Linked DNA regions of Diceros bicornis minor. The protein of the gene in region 2 interacts with the protein of the main gene of each other region in a biochemical or structural test. Links are inferred from orthologs where the notes say so. Each region holds a gene or a part of one and is shown on either strand. Other genes may lie near its edges.

The links.
Region 1: the proteins of ATP7B (region 2) and ATOX1 form a complex in vitro, tested with the Homo sapiens proteins (3 studies listed by BioGRID and IntAct). The link is inferred for Diceros bicornis minor from reciprocal best matches to the Homo sapiens genes ATP7B and ATOX1.

The regions. Positions count from the first base shown.
Region 1 is NC_080740.1:68,618,669-68,626,239, reverse strand, and holds the start of ATOX1 (copper transport protein ATOX1), read left to right. Parts: upstream 1-4,552; 5' UTR 4,553-4,633; coding exon 4,634-4,639; intron 4,640-7,571. UniProt on the Homo sapiens protein: Binds and deliver cytosolic copper to the copper ATPase proteins. May be important in cellular antioxidant defense.
Region 2 is NC_080748.1:25,292,632-25,299,729, reverse strand, and holds the start of ATP7B (copper-transporting ATPase 2), read right to left. Parts: upstream 3,021-7,098; 5' UTR 2,770-3,020; intron 2,760-2,769; exon of another isoform or gene 2,680-2,759; intron 2,441-2,679; 5' UTR 2,389-2,440; coding exon 2,335-2,388; intron 1-2,334. Other genes in the region: ALG11 (GDP-Man:Man(3)GlcNAc(2)-PP-Dol alpha-1,2-mannosyltransferase), read left to right, coding at 3,352-3,395. UniProt on the Homo sapiens protein: Copper ion transmembrane transporter involved in the export of copper out of the cells. It is involved in copper homeostasis in the liver, where it ensures the efflux of copper from hepatocytes into the bile in response to copper overload.

The sequences.
Region 1 (7,571 bases), on a different chromosome or scaffold from region 2:
TGAAAGCATTGATTAAAATTTAAAATCCATATACCCTATAATCCAGAAATTCTACTTTTTAATATTAAAATGTACAGCAATCTGATAGTAGTCACTACCTCTACTGTGGAAGGCAGTGATATAAAGGTATGAAGGAAACTTTATCTGCATTGTTTAAAAATTTTTTACATTAAGAAACTTTTCATATATTACGTAATTTAAAAAGTACTTGTCATAACCCTAAGACTAGCTTCTGAGTGCTTATTATGTACCAGGCACTGAACAGAATAGTTTATGGGCATTGTCTTATTTCTCACAACAGCACTATGAGGATAGGTCTAATTATTATATTTATCTTATAGCAAAAGAAACTGAGGTTCAGAGAGGTTAATTGCCAAAAACGGCCAGGAACTGAACATAAGCATTGTCTGGTTTGTCTCATTAAACACAGCTTTAAATCCCCAAAGCCTAAAGTAGTCTGGCAGAGAATAAAGGAACAAGAGGACAGTGTGACAAATGTCCCCTGACTTTTGGTTACCGTGCTGGGAGACCACAAAGGAGTCCTGGAGACTGTGGTAGCCCAAAGAGTCTGGGCCTTGTCTAAAGAGTCCTTGGCAGGCCTTAGTTTTGTTTTCTGACATTGCTATTTCTCCTCCTTCCGGGTACCTGGCAGGATTATACTTTCCTGCCTCTTTAAAGACAGGCCTAGCCAAGTATCCTGCTTCGGCCAAAACAACGTGAGCAGAAGTGACACATATCTCTTCCAGGCAGAGAAGTCTTTGGAGGTTGCGATTACTTGCTGAGGTCTTCCCTCCCCACCCTCACCTCCATATTCAATGTCGTCTCATAGGGGGAATCTCCCTCAAAAACAATTTGCACAGAGCCACTCCTCCAACCTTTCCAACCTGTGATGGGCATATAACATGAGTAAGAAATAAATCTGGGGGCCGGCCCAGTGGCACAAGCAGTTATGTGCGCGCGCTCTGCTTCGGTGGCCTGGGGTTCCCAGGTTCAGCTGCCGGGCGCACACCGACGCACCGCTTGGCAAGCCATGCTGTGGAGGCATCCCATATAAAGTAGAGGAAGATGGGCACGGATGTTAGCCCAGGGCCAATCTTCTTCAGCAAAAAAGGGGAGGATTGGCATTGGATGTTAGCTCAGGGCTAGTCCTCTTCACAAAAAAAAACAAAACAAAAAAAAACCAGAAAGCTGTTGTTTTAAGCCGTTGAGGTTTTGGGATTGTTTGTTACTACAGCATTACCTGGCCTATCCTGCTAGTTGCAGATGTTTTCAGATCTTCCAGTTTTTCAGGAGATACTCAAAAGCTGGGTCATCATGTGACATCACTCAGTGTTTTTTTTACCATTTTATTAATGGTATAAAAATGTTTTGCTCTCACTTAAAAAAATGCAATGAAATTTTCTTTCTAAGAGGAATAATTGAATTCATTCTTTTTTAAACTTTATTTGTATTTTTTTAGGTGAGCTAACACCTGTTGCCAATCTCCCTCTTTTTTTTTCCTCCTCAAAGCCCCAGTTCATGGTTGTACATCCTAGTTGTGAGTACTGCTAGTTCTTCTATGTGAGCTGCAGCCACAGCATGGCAACTGACAGACGAGTGGTGTGGTTCCACGACCAGGAAGCGAACCCGGGCCGCCGAAGCAGTGAAAGCGCTCAACTTCAACCACCAGGCCCTCAGAGCTGGCTCTGGAATTTTTATTTTTTAAAAAATGCTTTTCTTAGTTCTTGTAATAAAGAAGCAACTAATTTTACATGTCAGTCTACAAATAAATTTGTTTTTTAATTGTGATAAAATATACAGAACATAAATTTACCATTCTAACCTTATTTATTTTTTTTTGGTGAGGAAGATAAGCCCTGAGCTAACATCCATGCCAATCCTCCTCTTTTTTGCTGAGGAAGACTGGCCCTGGTCTAACATCTGCGCCTATCTTCCTCCACTTTATATGGGACACCGCCACAGCATGGCCTGACAAGCGGTGCCTCGGTGCGCAGACGGGACCCGAACCCGGGCTGCCAGCAGTGGAGCGTGCGCACTTAACTGCTACACCACTGGGCTGGCCCCTATTCTAACCATTTTTAAGTGTACAATTCAGTGGCATGAAGTACATTCACAACATTGTGCAACCACACTCAGTGTTCTTAAATGTGGTCAACTAATCCAAAAATACTTTGAACACTTTAGGAACGGAATAAAATATTTCTGTAGGCCAGATTCAGCCAGTTTGCAACTCTGCCATGCTGCCTCTCCCAAGCCTGCAGCCCAAGTTCCCTTGGCTCTGTCTCCTCTCTTCTCCTGCCTTGGCTTCTCCAAGGGCCCTTTCAGCTCAGAACCTTTGATCCAAGGCTAAGAGTTCCTTGGTTGATAAAGCAGTGAGGCAGCTAGTGCGTACCTGTGTTATAGGACAGAAAACAGACACTTGGTCTCCTGGAAGGAGTAGGCAGCAGCTATGAAGGCCTTGCTTTGCAAAGCTTAACCCCAGCATCCACCAAAGTGTCACTCTAGTAGGTGGTAGGGAATTACCGGGAAGAAGGCACCAACCTCTGTCTGTGAACCCACCACTTCACATGACCATCCTTACAGCAGCACTCTCAGCCAGAAAGGGTCCATTTCCCAGGCCCAAATGCTTAATGATGAAATGACTTACCCAAGTTTATGAGACTAGTAATGAGACTGCTGGGCAGTCTGGAACTCAGAATTCCTGAACTCTGCTTTTTAAAAATATTCTTTCCTGTGATTCTTTTCTTGATACATATTCATTACAGGAAATATGGCAAAGAAAAGAAAAAAGGAAATAAAAATCACCTATAACAGAATGGGTGAGGGTACTACATATTGATCTGGAGATATGAAAATGTAGTTGATAAAACTTGGAGAGGCAATCTGGCTTTATCAAAATTAAAAATGAATAGCAATTCCACATCTAGGAATTTATTCTACATAAATATTAAGCAAAGATGTATGTATATGGATTGTCATTACATCATAGTTATTAGCATTAAAAGATTAGAAGCAACCCATATGCCCATCAGTGGGGAGCTGTATCAGGACTGTGTCAGGGGCAAGGAACACAAAGTCTGAGTAGCAGTAGCTGAACTAGAGATGGGCTGACATTTCTCACATTATAAGCAGGGGACAAGTTGGCATGGGTTCAGCGAGCACACAGTCAGAACCAGTGTCTCTGGGATTCTCTTGGCATTTCCCTCATGGGTGCAAGATGGTGCACTTGCATCTAAATATCACATCAGCATTCTAAGCAGGAAGAGGAAAGGAGTGGTATCTGTTCCCTGTGTGAGGAAAGCAAGAGCCTTCCCAGAAGCTCCCTAGCTGACTTCTGCTTTTCAGTCATTGGCCAGAGCCATATCATATGGGCACACCTGGCTGCAAGGGAGAACAAAAGCAAGTATTTAGGGATTCCAGCCTCTATAGGAGCTAGAGTAAAAAGATTGAGAATGAGTGTTGGGTTAGCCAACCAATAGTTTCTGCTGTAGGGACTGGTTAAATAAATTATGGTACAACTGAATAATAGAACGCTATGTCATGCTAAAAAGAATGAAAGGGATTGATGTGGACTATTAAAGAAAAATCTCTAAGATATTTTGTAAAATGAGAAGAGCAGGGTGCAAATCTGTGTACAGTATGCCTTTAGTTTAAAAAGGGAGATCATGGGAGGTGGGAGACTTTTCACTGTTACATTCTTTTATGCTATTTGAAATTTTAAAAATAATATGTACATCAGGGTTTTGCCTGTAATCCTGCACCCATCCAAGATAACTTCTAATAACATTTGCTGTAGTTCCTTTCGGGCTTCTTTTTTATGTAAAAGATGGAATTTATGTATTTATTTATATGCAGGAACTATAACCCTGTACATTTACCTCTCCTCTTTGATAGAGTTTCATTTGTCATCTCGAATGAGTGTCCATAACGCTGCTCCTCATGAATTGCACTCTCTCCTTCCCAAATAGCCCATCTTCCTTCATCAGAACGTGTACTCTTCCCCCTTAACTCAGATTATTACCTCCTCCCAAAGCCTCCTCTCTTCAACAACAGCCCCCCAACACACACACACACACTCCAGCCTGAGTCAGAGATCCTTTCTCTGCTCCCACGACACAACTCCTCTAACACGACACTATCGTCGCCTGCTTCCTTCGCTCCCTGCTGGGCTGCTCTTTCCACTCCAGCATCTTAGATGCCTAGCACAGTGTGGCCCATGGTTGGCACTCAATAAATACTGACCTTGTGAATAAATCAGATTGTCCCTTTAGGGAGGGACGGGGCCTTGGTACGGATTCCCAGGCCCAACACCAGCCTGACACGGAGCAGGCGATCTAAAAGCGGCCAACAGGCGCAGAAGGCCGGCCCAGCGTCCCTCGCCCCGCCTCGCTCAGACTTGGCGGGTGTCCAGGGCCCCGCCCGCCGGAAGGAGGCGGAGCGGCCAGCGTTCTGGCAGCCGGCTCCCTGCCCGCGGGGTCGGGGGGGCGGGGCCTCGGGGGCGGGGCCTCGGGGGCGGGGCCTGGGGGCGGGCCGGAGGGGGCGGGGCCTCTCGGCGTGCGCACCGCGAAGCGCAGCCGCGCCAACGCTCAGAACCGGGAAAGGCGTCTCCGCTGCCACCAGCGCCTCTTCAGTCATGCCGGTAAGTGGCCGCGCCGCCGCCGCGCCGCCCCCGCCCCGCGCAGACCCGCGGCCCTCGGCTTGCGCCCCGGGCGCACCGCCGCTCGGCGAGATGTCGCTCTTCAAGGGCTCAGGCCGCGGCTGGAGCTATTGCCTCTCTTCTCGCCTCTCCCCACCCAGCCCTGAGCTTCTGCGACCCTCCAGAAGTTCGGATCCGAAAGGAGTTTAATCTAGGAGCCAAGCTTCAGAGCATCGGAGCTCTAGGCCTACAGCGGTCCCAAGCCCGACTTCCCTGCGTAGACGGGGAAACTGAGACTCGGAGAAGGGCAGAGTCGCCCGCGATCACACAGGGAGTGGGTGGCGAGCAGGAACTGGGACGCCTAGTCCCTGCGACTTCCATCTGGATGCCCCTGTCCGCGGAGCTGGCCTCAAAGAGGGGGATGGGATGGCTATTGCCTCATGCAGAGGGCAGGTTTTCAGACGTCTGTTTTTCCTCCCTTCTCCCGCCCACTCTGCCCAACTTCAGGTTAGCGCTGGGCGACACTGAAAGGAGACAGTGCTTTTAACCTTTCCTACCTGTCACTTTCTGAACCTGAACCCGTGATCCCCAGAGAGGTTTGGGGACTTGCCCAAATTCGCCAGTTGCTCAGCGACAGAGTTTGGGGAGGAATGAGCAGGTGTCAGCCCACCTTTGCAGCTCACTCAGTCTTATTGCACAGATGTGGTTGCTTGTGGGGCATTTTGTTGATAACGAATTAAGGCCTTTTGAGATAAAGATATAAAAAGTGCAGTAACTTATTCAAGGTCATGTTGGGAGTTGGGTGGAGCCAGGATTAAGCCCCTTCAGGCTCCCAATCTCTCCTGGCCTGACCACAAGAGTAGTCACACCGGCTTGGGAGGAAGCTCTGATCCCAGTTGCATCCTGTAGCTCCTGATTGGTGTCACGTGGGTTTAGCATTTGCCCCCAGGGTGTCTAGTTCACAGTTCTGCTCCAAGTGGGTACCCAGAGGTGTCCTGCAGATGCCCTGTGTCTTAGCATCCTAGCTCTGGGGAGCTGACAGGTGAGCCAGAGGCCCCCTGGGCTGAGCCACAAACATATCATGTGTCATTTCCCTTGAGTCTTGGCAGCTGCCTTGGGACAAATCCTCAGACAACACAATGCATAGGCAAAGAACCTGATAGAATCAGCCCTCCCCATTGAGCAAATCTGCTGTACAGCAAACCTGCCAAGGACAGCATTAATCGCCCTGGGACTGGGATAGTGGAGGCCACTAGGTTTTTCTGGGTGGTGGCGGTGAGGGAAAAGCCAGCTTGAGGATCACTCTATTCTCTGTTCACTACTGGGGATTTTGACAAACAAAAGACCTTCCAGAACGGATGATCAGAACGAAGAGGGCACTGGCACCACATCCCCAGATGAACAGCTAAAGGAAGGAGGGTATTAGTCAAGGGGCTGCCGACAACACTGGAAGCAGAAGAGTGTCACCTCAGAGGTTTCTCAGACAAACACTTCAAATCTCAGGAACCTCTTTGAAAAGTCTGTACCCCTGCTTGCCAACTGGTGACCTTGGGCAAGCTGCTTTACCTCTTTGTGCCTGGTTTTCTCATCGGTAAAATGGAGATAAAACTGTGACCTCAACAGACTGGTGCTGGTGTTGACTGGAAAAAAGCCAGTAGAATACGTAGCACAGCCATTGACATAGCTAGTCCCCAAGAAATGGTAGCTCTTGTGTAGACCTAGGACAAGTAGGGTAGGACTATAGGCAGGCAGGTTTCAACCCCGTTTTAACAAGGACCACAGTGGTTAAGTGTTTTGACTTTGGAGACTGTCCAGTCTAGGTCCTGCTACTCACTAGCTGTGTCACCCTGAGCGAGTGACCTAACCTCTGAACCCCAGCTTCCTCATCTGTCAGGAAGGGATAATAATAGTACCTACCTCATGGAATTATTGTGACGATTAAACAAGGTAATGCATATAGGTGTTTAGAACAATGCCTGGCACATAGTAGGCACTCGAATATAAATATTAGTAAACTCGCTATCATCAGGGTGTTCAAAGACTATGTCCTGGCTAGTTGAGAAAGAATTCCTTCTAGGGCCGGCCCCGTGGCTTAGCAGTTAAGTGCGTGCGCTCCGATGCTGGTGGCTCAGGTTCGGATCCCTGGCGCGCACCGACGCACTGCTTCTCCGGCCATGCTGAGGCCGCGTCCCACATACAGCAACTAGAAGAATGTGCAACTATGACATACAACTGTCAACTGGGGCTTTGGGGGGAAAATAAATAAATAATAAAAAAAAAAAAGAAAGAATTCCTTCTCTGGGAGGGGTCTGGACAGTGTGACCCCACTCTATTCCCTCCCTTCCAGTTCTGAGATTCTGTGAAAGAATTGCACAGCTTACTGGACTTTTTCCTCTACTGTAAGGACCCGTTCTTTAGGTGACAGAGTAGAGGCCCTGAAGGGCTGGGACTGCGCAAAATCAAGCATTCAGTGGTGGGGCTGGTCTTGGGATTCTCTGTAAAGAATGGATTACTCTGTCCATTAAGTAGGTTTTCCGCCGCCCCCCAATTTACTTTTGCTACTTAGAGGTGGAGGAAGGGAGCACTGAATTGTAAGGTTTGCCATCCGGAAACCACCTCCTGGCTTCTGACCTCTGTACTATGGACCATGGAAGGACACATGCTCTCTCTAGTCAGCTGCAGAAAGAAAGCTTCAGGTATCGTTGACTTTAGGTCTTTGGGCAGCAAAACCTTGTGCTCCATCACAAGGTGTTCCCACTCTCAGAGCTCCTGCTAATAGTCAGGGTTGTGGGGGCTGGTGGGTGGCAGTGCTGTTTGCTGGGCCAGAACCAGCAAGATGTCCCTGGAGCTGGGAACACCTGGGTTCACATCCCAGCCCCAGCACATACTGGCAATGTGACTGTGGGCCCCTTAGTTAACCCCTGGGAACCTCAGT
Region 2 (7,098 bases):
GTCATGGACCCCAGGTCAGGGCCACTGCTGCCCCACAGAGAGGCCTCTGAAGAGAAAACAATATGGAGGGATCGTGCTATAATTCACACTTTCAAGAACAACGGCGGTGCACCGATTATGCACTGCGGAGAACTTTTTTTTTAAAAAATCTGGTCCCCACTTTTGAGAAGCACAGAGTTGCAAAGAAAAGGTACATTCAGAAAAGTTTAAATAATCATACCAAGCTGTGTGACCAACTGTCAAATTAAGTTTGGAAGAAAATCTATATCTGAGAAAGCCAGACAGGCCTGGCTAGGACTCAATCCCAGATCTGCCTCTTACTAGCTGTAGAACCTTAGGCAAGTTACTTAAGTTCTCTCTGCCTCTGTTTCCCCATATGTTAAGATGATGAACTCTGACCTCATGTTCTGCCACTTCCCCTCCTTCCCTCTGCTCCAGCCATTCTGGCTTTCTTACTATTTCTCAAACCTTCAGGCCACTTCTGACTTAGGACCTTGATACCTCTGGTTCTTCAACCTAGAACACTTACCCCAAATCTGAATCATTCAGGCTTCTACTCAAATGCTACCTCCCCAGAGAAGAAATCCCTGACTACCTGCTTAAAATAGTATCTCCCCCTCCCATATGATTCCTAATGCCCCTATGTTGATTTATTTTCTTCATAGAACTTATCGGTACCAGAAATAACACTCTTTGTTTACTCTTTTTTTCCCCTGTACCTACTAGGATATAAATTACTCGAGGGCAGGGGTCTTGGTCTTAGCTAGATCCCCAGGGCCTAGAATGCCTGGCACAAAGTAGATAACTAAAAAAATATTTGTTGAATAAATGGTGATAAGAAGAAAATAATACCTGCATCAAAAGGCTTTGTGAGGATTAAATGAGGACTGAACACAGAGAAATATACAGTGCTTAATACAGTGCCTAGCACATAGTAAGCTCAATAATGTTGGCTAATACTATAATCAAAGGAATCCAAGAGAGGATGAGATCACCAAGGACACAGGCAGTTCCAGAAAGTCTCAAGGAGAAGGCAGGTCTTGAGCTTGATCTGGAAGGATAAGGATTTTTCAGATGGGTAGAGAGGTGGGGCCACCGCAGGGGTGTGGAAGTTCTCCTCCTACAAGCTACCCCTCCCCCACGTGCTCTCTTCATACCTCCATTAAATGCAGAGTCTTCACACTAAGAATCATCTATTGACCAGCCTCCTTCTGCCACCCATTAATCCACTTATCTTGCATTTCTATACCACCAGAGTACAGAAGTAGATAAATAGTGAATATTAGATGAATAGCAAAATTGGATGAATTTCACTACAAAAGGGCACGCAATAATGTTGTTGAATCAATTTAAGAAATCTGTATAAAAGGCACAGCCTACTCTTCGGAACAGCAATCCAGGCCTAGATGTCTATCCTTAAGAAATACTCAAGTGTCAGCATTAAAAATCATGTACCAGGATGTCCACTACAGTGTGGCTCCTGAAGGCAAAAAAAACACAACAGAAGCAACCAGAACGTCCACCCAAAGAGAAACAGTAAACACGCTATAGTGAGTCCATATCGTGCAGAGGTTAAACTGAATAAGACAGATGCTTATGTACTAACATGCAACAACCTCCAGAATATATTGTTAAACCAAAAAAAAAAAAAGGTTGGAGAATACACACTATGTGATCTCATTCAACAAAATCTAAAGATTTCTCTGGAGTTATAGATATGTATCTTGTTAAGCATTGTATTTTCAGCTCTTCAACACTGTGCCTGAAACATGTTAAATTTTCAATAAATATATGCTGAATGAATTAAGACACATAAGTTAGGACACCGAGTAGAAACGGATTGGAAAATACATCTGCTTTTCACGCTAAATATTCCTGTACTGTTTGCATTCTTAAGAGACCACATTAATGTATTACCTGTATAATTAAAATGAATTCAAAATAGTTCTTAAAAAAAAAAAAGTTGCAGGACCTGGATAGACCATAAAGGGGTCCAGGCACCAACTCTGAATAACTTCTCCAGGTAACTAATTGTCTTGAGCAATTAGGGCTCTTACACAGCAACTCAACGCTCACTTTACCTCTCCAGCATCAGACCCTTTAACGGCATAAAGAGGAACAGAAAAGTGCTGGGTTTGGAACTGTTCCTGAAAAGCAGATAATGGCATGCCCTTTCTAAAGAGTGCTCTTCTTACAAACCACGACTCCCCTGGGGCCGGGCTCCCGCGCTCGCACTTCCCGGCGCGCGCCCAGGAGCAGAGTAAGGACGGCAGGAGGGCGTGGAAAGTGCTCCAGGTAGGTGTGTGCACACAGTGCCCGGGGAAGGAAACTTACCTTCGGACTGGCCCCTTCTCTGGCAGTAATCTGTCTCTCCTGCTCAGGCATCATCTCCCGGAGAAACCAATTTCTTCTGTGATCTGGCCGAGAGCCCAAAGGTCACCTGGTTAGTGGAGGAGAAGCGCGGTGTTAAAATCCAGGGAAAAGAGGAGCGGGGTGTGGATGGCATCTTTGCTTTTCAGCTTGAACCCAAAGAGGGGTCTGAGAACCGGCTCCTGCATTTCGGACCAGGAATTGGCAGCCCTCACCCCACGGGCTAATTCAAAGTTGCGCTCCACCGCGCCCCTGGCCCTTGGGGGCGCGGAGATGAGGGGGGAGGGTGGGCCTCGCACCCTCACTCACACCCGGAGGCCGGCCCGCCGCTGCCTCAGTGTCCTTGGCTCAGCCGGGACCCTTGGCGGGGACTCGTCCTCCCTCCTGGGTCTCCGATACCTTGGACCGGTGCGCTCTGGACTCGGTCTTCAGCCTCCGGCGTGTGCCGGGCAGGAAAAGAAGGGCGGGCGAGCCGCGTAGACCCCGGCAGGAGATGCAGATCCCAGAGCTCGCCCACAGCCGGCGGGGAAGGTGCGGCGTGGCGGGAGCCGGCGTCGGGTCCGCTCTGCGCAGCTCCCTCTCCGGCTCGGCTCCTGGCTCCGGGGCGCCGCGGGTCCGAAACGCCGCACCTGGAAAATCGATCCGAGACGCGCAAGAGCTTCCCATTGGTCTCCAACGGGCAGCGGGCTCTGGACTGAGGGCTTCCAGTAGTCTAGGGGGCAGGGGCCGGAGCGCTGGCTGTCCATCACAGGCCACGCCCTCCCCGTCCCAACTCCCACTACTGTCCCGCCCACGGGGGCGGGACCCGTGAAGCCACGCCGAAAACTTGTCTGCTCCTTGGAAGATTCTATTGGCTGGAAGGCCGTGGGAAGCCACTACCAGCAACCAATTGGAACGCACAATTAGCACCACTCGCTTTCTCAGGAGCCAATAGAGAAGAGGAACAGGGAAGCGTTTCCTGAGTTCGGGGGTCGGCGGAAGATGGCGGCGGCCGAAGGGGGTTGGTGTTTGTGCGAGTTACTGAGGTGAGGAGCCGGTGGTGTGGGCTCGCAGGCGTGTTGTGAATCACGGTGGTACTTGTCCGCCCAGTGCAACTCAAGTTTTCGAGGAAGGGCGTTCCTTGCCACGAACCTAGGCTGTTTTCTCAAGGCCAGTGAGCGCTTTTCCTCTCACTTTGGGGTCTTCTAGCTAGACCAGAGCAGACTGGGTTCAGGACTCAGTTTACCCCGTTTTCTTCGTCTGCGCCACTGCTGGCGGAGGAATCGAGCTCCCCTCCCTGCTTCAGCTTGTCTTTCTCTTGTTTGGACTCCACTTAGTCTGTTATAAATTACTTATATTCATTTCTCATTTTTCTTTGTGATTGAGCCACAAATCATTTTCCAACCTATTGTGTCTTTCTTTCTGGTAAAGAAGAAACCAGATCTTCCTTCCCACGTCTTAGTTTCTCCTCTTTCACCAAAACTGTCTTGTTAACATGTCACTTAAAGGTAAAGTTTATGTTGACTCCTCTGCTTCTTGATTACTCATTGATTTTTCTTTTTTTTTTTAAAGATTTTATTTATTTATTCCCCCCCCCCAAAGCCCCAGTAGATAGTTGTATGTCATAGTTGCACATCCTTCTAGTTGCTGTATGTGGGACGAGGCCTCAGCATGGCTGGAGAAGCAGCACGTAGGCGCGTGGCCCGGGATCCGAACCCAGGCTGCCAGCAGCGGAGCGCGGGCACATAACCGCTAAGCCACGGGCCGGCTCTGATTTTTATTTCTGATTGATGTAAAAATAGTTATGTAAAATATTATTACTTCTATCTTTATTACATAAGTAATACATTGTTTCTTGTAGAAAAGTTAGAAAATAGATGAGCAAAAAAGAAAATTCGCCGGGAATGCTGCCATCTGAAGATTACGACCGTTAACATTTTGGTGAAAAACTCCCAGACTTTTTTCCTACATTTGTTGCTGTAATACTACAGTATTTTACGTGCCTTGCCCTACACGAATAAAACAGAAGACCTACACAGCTTTTTAAACACCTACATATTTTTGTTCAGGTTGAAAATTTATAATTAACACGATAGCATCCTGAATAGCAGTATATACGTATTCTCTCCAAAATTCAGATGTTGTTTCTTCATTTTTGTCCCTCCTACTTCAAATTCTATAATGATTATTTAAAACATTTTGAAAGGGAAAGTCTTTTTTCAGAGCCTTCATATTCTTCCCTGCCATTTGAAATATCCCTAACTCAGTGCTTTGCACATAATAATAGCTAAATAAATGTTTGCTGAATGAATGACTCACTGTTGATTACAGTTGTCTTTTTAAAGCCTTATATTTAAATATGGGTGAACATTATTTAATGGCACATATTTAAGTTATATATATATTTTTAATTATCTTTTGTTTTTAACTTTTTTAATTTTTTTTTTTTTAATTTTTTCCCCCAAAGCCCCAGTAGATAGTTGTATGTCATAGCTGCACATCCTTCTAGTTGCTGTATGTGGGACGCGTCCTCAGCGTGGCAGGAGAAGTGGTGCGTGGGTGCGCGCCCCGGCCGGCTGCCAGCAGCAGAGCGCAACACACTTAATCGCTAAGCCACGGGGCCGGCCCAATTTAGTTATATTTAAACAAATTCTAAAATGGGTAATTTTGATGTGCAAGTACTGTAGGATGTTTAAAAAATTTATTTATAGAACCTGTAAGTATATCTTTGAAACTAACAGACTCAAAGGACTGGTTCAACTTTAGTCATTAATATGATTTTTTTTCTGATCGTAAGTTAAATTGTTCAATTTGAAAATCCTATCACATGAATTTTCCCACTTAAATCATTTGAAGGAAGTGTCATAAAAATCTTCGGATTCTATGAGTCAGCTACGTTATAAATTAAATGGGCTTTTGACTTGTCGTGGGAAAGCTAAATGAATTCATAAATATTTTTTTTAATTCCTCAGATTTTGTTTCTAATATGCTAAATATTGGTAGGTGTAATCATTGTAAACTAGTGGTTCTCAGCAAGGGGTGATTTTGCCCCCACAGGACATTTAGCAGTGTCTGGAGATAATGTTGATTGTCATGATTGGCAGGGTGCTACCAGCATCCAGTGGTTGAGACCAAGGATGCAGCTAAACATCCTTTAATGCACAGGACACCCCCAGAACAAAGAATTATCTGGTCCAGAAGGTCAGTAGTGCTGAGGTTGGGAAACCCTGATGTAAACAAAAGCTGTATGGGGTCCTCAGTAATTTTTAAGAATATAAGGGTGTCCTGAGACCAAACCATTTTAACAAGTCAAATACCTCTTCAAGTAATGAATGGACTGGTTCACAATAGGAAATTGCACACGAGAAATTTATTTCAGAACTAAATATCAATAAGATGTTTATTTCTCTGAAAAATTTCTACTTATGGACAATGAAAACGATGTAACTACACAAATTATCCTCATATTTGCTTTGGTCGTTAAGCAGCCCAGAGTCCAATCTGCTGTTCACCTCTACGTACAAACTTAGAGCCTATGTCCCCTCATCTGCCTTCCCACCCCCCCAACACACTTTAACTCTATATTTTTCCTGGTCCTGACTTTTGATTGTTTCAGTTTTAGTATTTTATTGTTTTTATGTCTTATAAGCCCTTCAAATCCTTTATAAAGGGTAGGCAGGGTATAAAAAATATTGTTAGGTACCAACTGTATTGACCAACCCTAAGAGAAAAACATACCTTGAGAAAATATTTCAACATAATTTAAGAGACATCTGAGGAGGTAATAACATTTTGCATTCAGTCATCAAATACTTATCGGCTGCCTTCTCTGTGTCAGGTATTGTGCTGGGCATTGGGATACAGCGGTGAACCAGCCTGGGTCCTTGCCCTCGAAGAGCTTCAGTCGACTGGGCAGTAATAGAGAACCTTTTAGCAGTCAGTGTTGGGGGAAGTTTACCAATGTGCGTGAAGTAGAGCATTAGTGGATTTTTGGCAGCTCATGGTGAGGCAGATAAGGGAAGGCAGTGATTTTAGGGTCAGGTAAACACATCAAATACAGAACTCAGAATAGAACTGGAGAAATTTAAATTCCGTTCCTCTTACCACAGAAATTGTTCTACTTGAAGTGAAGTGAGAGAATACAAATGATTTACTATCTCACCAAACTTAACTAATGGAATATTGATCCTTCCACAGGACATATTTCTTTGGGTTACGTATTGTCGTTTTGAGGGCCAGACGCCATTCCTAATCATGTCTTATTTAGGTTAATAGTTAAATTTTTTTAAATCCCTTAACACATACACTGAGTTAAGAGAAAGGTGGCTCAACATTGATTTCTACTGCTGATTAAAAAGAAAAAGTAGGGCCAGCCCCGTGGCTTAGCGGTTAAGTGCGCGCGCTCCGCTACTGGCACCCGGGTTCAGATCCCAGGCACGCACCAACGCACTGCTTCTCCGGCCATGCTGAGGCCGCATCCCACATACAGCACCTAGAAGGATGTGCAACTATGACATACAACTATTTACTGGGGCTTTGGGGGAAAAAATGAGGAGTATTGGCAATAGATGTTAGCTCAGAGCCAGTCTTCCTCAGCAAAAAGAGGAGGATTAGCATGGATGTTAGCTCAGGGCTGATCTTCCTCACAAAAAAAAAAGAAAAAGTATATTAGATTGCTAGCATGCTGTGGGGATGGGAATTATAGGGGACTTGCACTTTCGTCATTGGAGATTTTGTAGCATTAGAATT